2 linked regions of the Drosophila melanogaster genome follow. The protein of the gene in region 2 interacts with the protein of the main gene of each other region in a biochemical or structural test. Each region holds a gene or a part of one and is shown on either strand. Other genes may lie near its edges.

The links. Proteins that work in one complex are often made in the same cells at the same time.
Region 1: of the proteins of Snr1 (region 2) and mnb, one has a biochemical effect on the other in vitro, tested with the Drosophila melanogaster proteins (one study listed by BioGRID).

What each region holds. Positions count from the first base shown.
Region 1 is NC_004354.4:17,873,175-17,876,928, reverse strand, and holds the start of mnb (minibrain), read left to right. Parts: upstream 1-1,888; 5' UTR 1,889-2,049; coding exon 2,050-2,524; intron 2,525-3,528; coding exon 3,529-3,674; intron 3,675-3,754. UniProt on the Drosophila melanogaster protein: Role in the specific control of proper proliferation of optic lobe neuronal progeny.
Region 2 is NT_033777.3:5,468,876-5,472,629, reverse strand, and holds the start of Snr1 (Snf5-related 1), read right to left. Parts: upstream 1,705-3,754; 5' UTR 1,572-1,704; coding exon 1,300-1,571; intron 806-1,299; coding exon 1-805. Other genes in the region: mRpL44 (mitochondrial ribosomal protein L44), read left to right, coding at 2,052-2,118, 2,171-3,069; POLDIP2 (polymerase (DNA-directed), delta interacting protein 2), read right to left, coding at 3,191-3,544, 3,600-3,754.

The sequences.
Region 1 (3,754 bases), on a different chromosome or scaffold from region 2:
ATTAGTATCAGGATCAGGTGCTATTTTAAATAATGGCCAGATTTCGAACAGCTAATTTGGGCTGCCTTTCCCCACCATTTCCACCGCTTTTCCTGCTCAGGCGAGGAATGCAACAATGTCACTGCATTCATTCAGTAAATAATATGTCCAACTGTTTGCTTATCACTCAACCGTCACCGTCTGTATTTGTTCCAATCCGCACTGTTTTGAAAAACCCGTAAGTCTATGCGGGACTTCCCCATTATTTGCCAAATATGTCGAGACTTTAGTATCCGATTAGCTGGCGCCGCCATCTGTTCATAAAGTTGTCAAGTGGTGGGTAATAGTAGTATTACAGTCGCAGTCACGTCACGATGTGAGTCACCTGCTCCGGATGCAATTATCGATGGTGTGTGATTGTTGGTAGTGGCCCTATCCCCCCCCCCCCCCTCATTCCTCGCCCAAAATGCAAGTGGCCAAAAAGGTGGCGGGGAGCGAACGCAAAATGTCGTCAACTATTTTTATTTTCGGCCGAGAGACGCGACAGACAAACAACGAACATGAGAACTTTGGGGCAAAGATCCCACATTGCGAACGGAGGATCGGATCGGATCGGATCGGATGGGATCCCTATAAATAGAGGGACTGGTGGCTATGCTCCTGCGAATCTTTCGAGGGGCCCCGAACGCATTAATTATTCAACTCTTCCATCGATTGGCAAGCGTTCAATTTGTTTATTATAAAAGCAAAATATTTTTTAATTGCTTTGGCGAAATGGAAAACACAAATTAGCTTGGCGTGTAGACAGACATTTACATAACTCGAAAGAACACAAGTTTATAATTATTTCAAAATCGTTTGGCATTACTGGGCATTTTAGTTTCGAAAACGATTTCCTATTTTTATGGCCCACTCTGCCAAGTGGCAGCTCAACCAGTTATACAGTTTTGTAACGCACTGCATTATGTACACACACTTTTTGCCTGGGGTTAATTACATTTTATTTTAATTTCACATTTCGTTTGCTTTGTTTTGATTTCCTTGACTTGCCGACGACGCAAAAGCCGAAACAAAGAAATGCATACTTACATATGTATGTATGTATGTATGTATGTATATTTGTATCTTTGCGCGCACGAGACAAGTGCGAGCACTTTCCCACCCACAACCACCCAGCGTTCCCCCATTTACCCCACATGCATTCGCTACATGTCACTACGCTACATGTCATTATTGAAATGCCATTATCAACGAAAAGCGGAACTCCCTCTGTCAAAAAAAACACTTGTGATAGAAAACAAAAGGCCAGCCAGAAGTGAGCTTTTCACCAACAATAATGGGGGAGAATACCTAAGAAAACCGATTTATTCGTTTGTGGTTAATCACAAGCAAGTGCAAGTAACTCTGTGATCAATATGGAGATACTGAAAGGTATTTACCCAACACTGTTTCAATCAGTTGAGCTTCTTCAACACCAGAGATGTGCACTCCGAAACAAAGGTCGAAAGGTATGGATTTGACCAAGAGATATCACCAAGAGATTTTTCTATTTCCCATTTACTCAAATGCAATTGTGCAACACTGAACGAGTCTAGTGTAGTGTTAATATAGCGAATTCCGATGCCAGATAGCCGGGCATTCCCTACTTTAGCTTCATGATCATTACCACGCCGAGATCGTGATGATCGTTGCTGCAATCTCGCTATCGGCGCTCGGCTTCGTTCGTGTGTTCCGCATAAGTGCAGCAAAAAAGTGCAAAAACACCAAGTGAAATAAAAGAGCAGGGAGAAAACACGGTTCCGTATAAATAAAACAGACGACAACAACAACAACAACGACGAGTGGCAAACTTTGGGGACAGAACTGGGGGAACAAAAACCGAGGCAGTTTGCGCTGAATTTTCACACGAAACAGACCGCGCTTCATACAGCCAGATCCAAATGGATCTTAAATTACTTAAATAAACTATATAAAAATAAACGAAATAAGCATATCATTTTGATTGAAAAAAGGAAGCGGTTAGTGCAAAGTGCGTTCGCGATTCCGATTGCGATTCCGATTGCCAGTGATATGTCGACGGCCCTGGTTTATTGGCAGTCAATGAATGGCGGCGATCCGGTTGACAAGGCCACCGCGGATTGGGCGCCATTCGTGGTTGGTGCAGCAGCTGGTGGCAGCTTCAGTAGCAGCATCATCACCAGCAGCAGCAGCAGCTTGAACCACCATCCGCACAACGGCCACCACAATCACCATCATCCGCCTCATTACATCAATTATTTGGCGCAAATTGGCTGCCAGCATCGTGTCAGAAATTGGCCAACAAATGGCAATCAGGATCAGGCGGATGACGACGACGCTGGCCATCAGATCATCTCTAAATTCCTGCCCAAAAGTGCCTGGGACACGGTGCTGTTGGATGTGAAGCGGGATGTAGATGAAGATGGAGATAGAGATAGAGATCGGGTCGATGGCAATGTGCTGATGGTTCAGGGATCGTCATCATCATCATCGAGAATGAAGGCGGAACGGGCACTCTATTATACTAGTAAGCCCATTGGATGAAACAGAGAAGTTGGCCTAGAAAAATTTGTTGCATGTCAGTTTAACTGACCGACAACTTTTTTTTTTGCGTTTGCACAATTAGTCAACGAATAGAAAGGAAAAGTATCTTTGCTCTCGCCACATGTTTTTTTGGAAATTAGAAATGGAGTGTTGGAATATCAAATGTCGCGGATTATCATCGAAAACACAGCTGCTGCCACTTACAGGTTTTACCCTGTTGCTTGATTTTTTCATTCTTGTTTATAACGTTGGGTCTATTTTTGTTGCACAAGCCATCAGCGAACGAAGAGCGAAGAGCAACAAAACAAAAAGAGTGAGCATGTGAAATGGTCATAGGAACGTGGGGAAATAGAATCTACAAACGGCAGAATTATGTATCTGCGCCTGCATATTGTGTAATAATTTCAGTTCAGTTCCGTCTGGTTCTAAAATTAAGGTAGAGCTTCTTTTTTACTTACCTCTGCTGGCCTGCCAATGCACAGGAAAAAAATATTGCTAGCAAAAGTAGATTCTTCGGAAAGGAAGAGAAATGTTCCAATTCGTTTTTTTTTATATGGCAGCATCATGTGCTTACTATCTTTAACTCACTAGTATGACCACCAATTCAACAACTAATTTTAGAACGAATTTTGCATCTTGAGTTAAAAAAAGAATGCATGACTCTGGGCTGGCTCTATATCAGATCTTAAATGGGAATTGGCAGTGTTTTTCCTGCGGTGTGTGTCCACACTTTTCGCCCTACCCTTTGCTTTTATTATCGTTTTGGCAACTCTTGACGCTGACGTAGTCAGGTGTGCAAGAAAACAGGTGCATTTTGCAGAGGAGCGGTGTCCGAGCGATCCGGTCAATGAACCAGCACAGAACGGCGCACAACGAAGGCGGCAAGCAAATACATCGCAATAATTATATATACACACATATATATTTGTATAATTCCCGCCGATATCTGATAGTATCTCTGATCTCTTCCTTTCTCTTACGCTCTAGTGTCCGCTTATGGGTCCAGCGGCGGCAGCGTCGACGCAGCGCAGGGCAGCGGAAGCGGGGGCGGAAGACAGCGCCACGCCCCACTCTACGGGCGATTCGTCGACGCAGAGGATCTGCCTGCCACGCACCGGGATGTCATGCACCATGTGAGTATTATCAACTAGCATTATCCTTATCTTCAATCCAAAACATGCATTTACACACAAAGGACATGCAGAAGTTGTGT
Region 2 (3,754 bases):
TCTGCGCGTGTTGCGGTCCTGGTCGCGGATTTTCTTCTCCATTTCGGCGTCGGTAAGCGTCTCTAGGAATGGCGCCCATGCGTCAGCGTCGCTGGGATTCCGGAAGGGCACATCAATCGTTGATAGAGGGGCCTCGCTGAAGGCGTACGTTCGACAGTGCCACGATAGCTGACCCCTAATGCTGTAGGCAATGGCCGTAACAAACTCTCCTCCCAATCCCAATTCCGCACAGAGTTTAATGGCAAACTCCTCGGGGTTGTTGTTCTTCTCGGACATGTCCCACTCGACCTGGTCGACGAGCGAGGTGTTGCCCACGTGAATGTTCAGCTTAACAATGACCCGCTGGTCGCAGGTCTCCTCGAGGATGGGGGGATCGTTGGGAAAGGCTTCGATCTGCTGTCGGATGGCCTGTGCAATAGCCGGCACAAAGGGCAGGGGATTGAGGTCCAGGTCGTCGCACAGCACCTCGGCAAACTGCTCCGGAGTAATCATGCTCTCGTTCTTGTTCCACGTGAAGGTGTCGCGCAGCTTTTGACCCTCTAGCTCCATGTCCAGTCGAATGGGCACCAGGCACTCCTTCTGCGCCGCATTCTCCAGGCTAGCCGTGGGATCCGTGTCGTCGAAACACATCGGGAATGTGCGAACCTTCTTCGTGTGCACTCGGTTTCGGTTGATTGGCGTGGCCTGTGGCACTGCGTCCAGGTGGCTGGAGTTCGGCATCGTGGGCACATACTGTGGCTGCTTCTTTGACTTGCTCTCCCGCGGCACTGGCGTATCGGAAGTGTTCACGGAGACGGCGCGATACCTGGGACGGAGATTCATGGTTAGTTAAATCAACTGTTAGCAAATTGACTGATTGGCCCTGCAAGCAGGCAAAATTTACCCAACATTCTGACAATAATACAATTCTCCGTGCTCAATTGGAAATCGTTGTCAATCATACAGACTATTGTGGCAGCTTTGCCAAAAATGTCTATGACATTTTTCCATATTTTTTCAAAATAACTGGGCAGTGTGTGGCTATGTGTGTTTGTATACGTCTTCACTTCAGAATGATAAGTGGTTTTTAACTAAGTGGTCATTAACAATGTTACTAAAATGAAGAATCTTCAGCCAAATGTACACATGTCTTATATTTGATAAAAGGATTACTTGATACCATTGGATTAAACATTTAAAAACAAACGTTTAAGTAGGACTAGTAGGAAGTAGATATCAACGAAGTTAATTGGAATTTTTAGGAAAGGCCCTATTTAGTTACTATTCTGGGGACATTACTTAGGTAAGACGCCCACTTACTTTTCATCGTTGCCGGCCATGATATCATCCACCTCTACGGCGCGGAGCAGCGATACAGAGCTGGCTAAGATGTGGGAGCTGAGGCCGGACTCAGCCAGCCGCTTGCGCTCCTCGTTGGACAGGACGATGCGGGTCATTCCCGGGTACTTCTTGTACAGAATGCCGCGGAAGTGGCGCATGTAGTTGCCCACTTCCGAGCCCACGTAGTAGTACTCGCCGCCCTCCTCCAGCTGGAAGGCCACCGGCTTGTCCCCGTATGTCTGCAGTGCCATGTTGGGTATATTTTCTTCTGTGGTCTCTCAATGCCCTGTTTCTGGCAGGGATTCCTTGTTAATATTCCGCGACTTAAATTTTCTTGGCGCATACACAAACACAGACATGTACATGGCGTCTATTGCGGGAGTGTTGGAAAACGAGCGGGTGCCACCAACGCAATTTAGTACTGGCGCCTTTTAGCTACAAAACGCTAAATAAAAAGCTGAAAGTATTTTTCGTTATAATTACTCGATTAAATGATAAAATTATAATTCATAAAGAAACATATTTAGTTATTATTATTTTTTTTTAATTATACATCTCTGAATAAATATAGAAACAACAAGAAACAAATATTATTAAAATGTATAAGTTAAGTTATAAGTTATAAAATTATATTTACGGTTAGACTGCCATCACTGCCACAAAAACCCGTGCAACACTAGTTCCCATGCGCGAAAACATATTCGTTACTTATTTTTAAGATCGCTTTAAAGATGTCATTCTTACGCAGTGCTGTTGGTCTCCTGGCTCGTGTCAAGCTCTTGGAGGGCTCACCGACTGGTGAGTAACCCGGATTCACCTAATGCCAGTCAGTAATCGTGATTTTCGGCAGTGCAAACGAGGCGCCACATCAAGCGATGGGTTTCGCCAACGTTACGTGAGCTCGCCCACCGGCAGAAGAAACTAGGACCACAAAAGCCAGAGCGGCGTTCTGGGTTCGTGGAGTGGAACCAGCGATCGGAGCTCTTCGCGTTCGGCAAGCGTTTGGGCGAATCCTTTGAATTGTCGGAGCTGCAGCGTGCTTTTACAGAGAAATCGTTTGCAGAGCGGGAGGAGGATCGTCGTCGGCAGCTAGGCATTGAGGAGTCTGACCTCCAGATGCCTCACAATAGCGATCTGGTCGAGAAGGGCCAACAAATTGCCCGTGCCTACGTTGAGGCCTTCCTGCAGCACCAGTTACCGAAGGTCCCTAATGAAGGACTCCAGGCGATCGCCAGTTATCTACTTAGCACCGAAACGCTTGCTCACGTCTCGACCCACCTGGGCACAAAGGATCTGATACAGTCTACGGAATACCCGCCCTCGGCCGAAAGTCAGGCCAAATCTTTACACGCAGTTATTGGCGCCCTGGCCAGTTCCAGTGGAATCGAGAGGGCTTTCATTTTTGTACGCGATTTCATCTGCACGCAACTGAATCAAAAGGACCTGTTGGAGGTGTGGACTCCCCAGGAACCAATCCAGCTGCTGGAGAAGATATGCCAGGAGCGAAAGCTGGGCGAAGCGGAGCCCCGCCTGCTTGGAGACTGCGGAAAGAACACTGTGCTAGCCGCCTACCAAGTAGGCATCTACGCCAACCGGCAGCTACTGGGCAAGGGATTCGGTGAAGATGTGAAAACAGCCACAGAGACTGCGGCACTCGACGCTCTGCAGAGCATCTTTGACACCCGCGACAACCGGAGACCCTTTGACTTTGCCATTCAGCTAGAACCAAAGACCGTGCGACTTGGCTGAGAATCAAAACTGGCTCTGCGTCCTTGTTGATTATTGTAATTTGCACTAAACACATGTACGCATGCATTGTCAGAAAAGATTGCGTTTTAAAATCATTTAACTACGGGTGAACAACTGCCTCTTAATCGCTATCGTCGCGCTTTTTATCGTGGGCACTGGGCGTGGCCGGTGTGGGCGTCCCTAGGTCGTCCGGCTTGCTCTCCAGTGAGAAGGGCGGAATCTTGCAATCGAAGGAGTATCCGTCTTCGCGCTCCAGCCGGAAGGTGCCCCACATATGGCCGCTGGGAGCCTGCAGGCTCACATGGCTGCTGTACTGAAAGGCGGGCAGCCGGGGGCTCAGAATGGGCTCCTGGCCCACCACTCCTCTTCCGCGCACCGTCTCCAGGGTTCCAGACAGTGAGAAAATGCGCCAGTGGCGCTCGCGCAGCTGCACGCTCAGCTCGCCGAGGTTCTCCAGTCGGATGCAGTAGCGCCACTGGAAAGGTACTTTATGACGTTAAACTAAAGAAAGGAGTTTCTTATTAACGCACCCAGTAGACCGAACTAGCAGGCGTCTCCCGGCAACCCATGTAGAAGGGAATCACGGTAATGCGCACGTTCTCCGTGGTCTCCTTGTGTACATCGCTCATGTCCAGCCAGGGATGGTTCTTCTCCTGCCACGCCTTCAGAGTGTCCTGGCCCACAA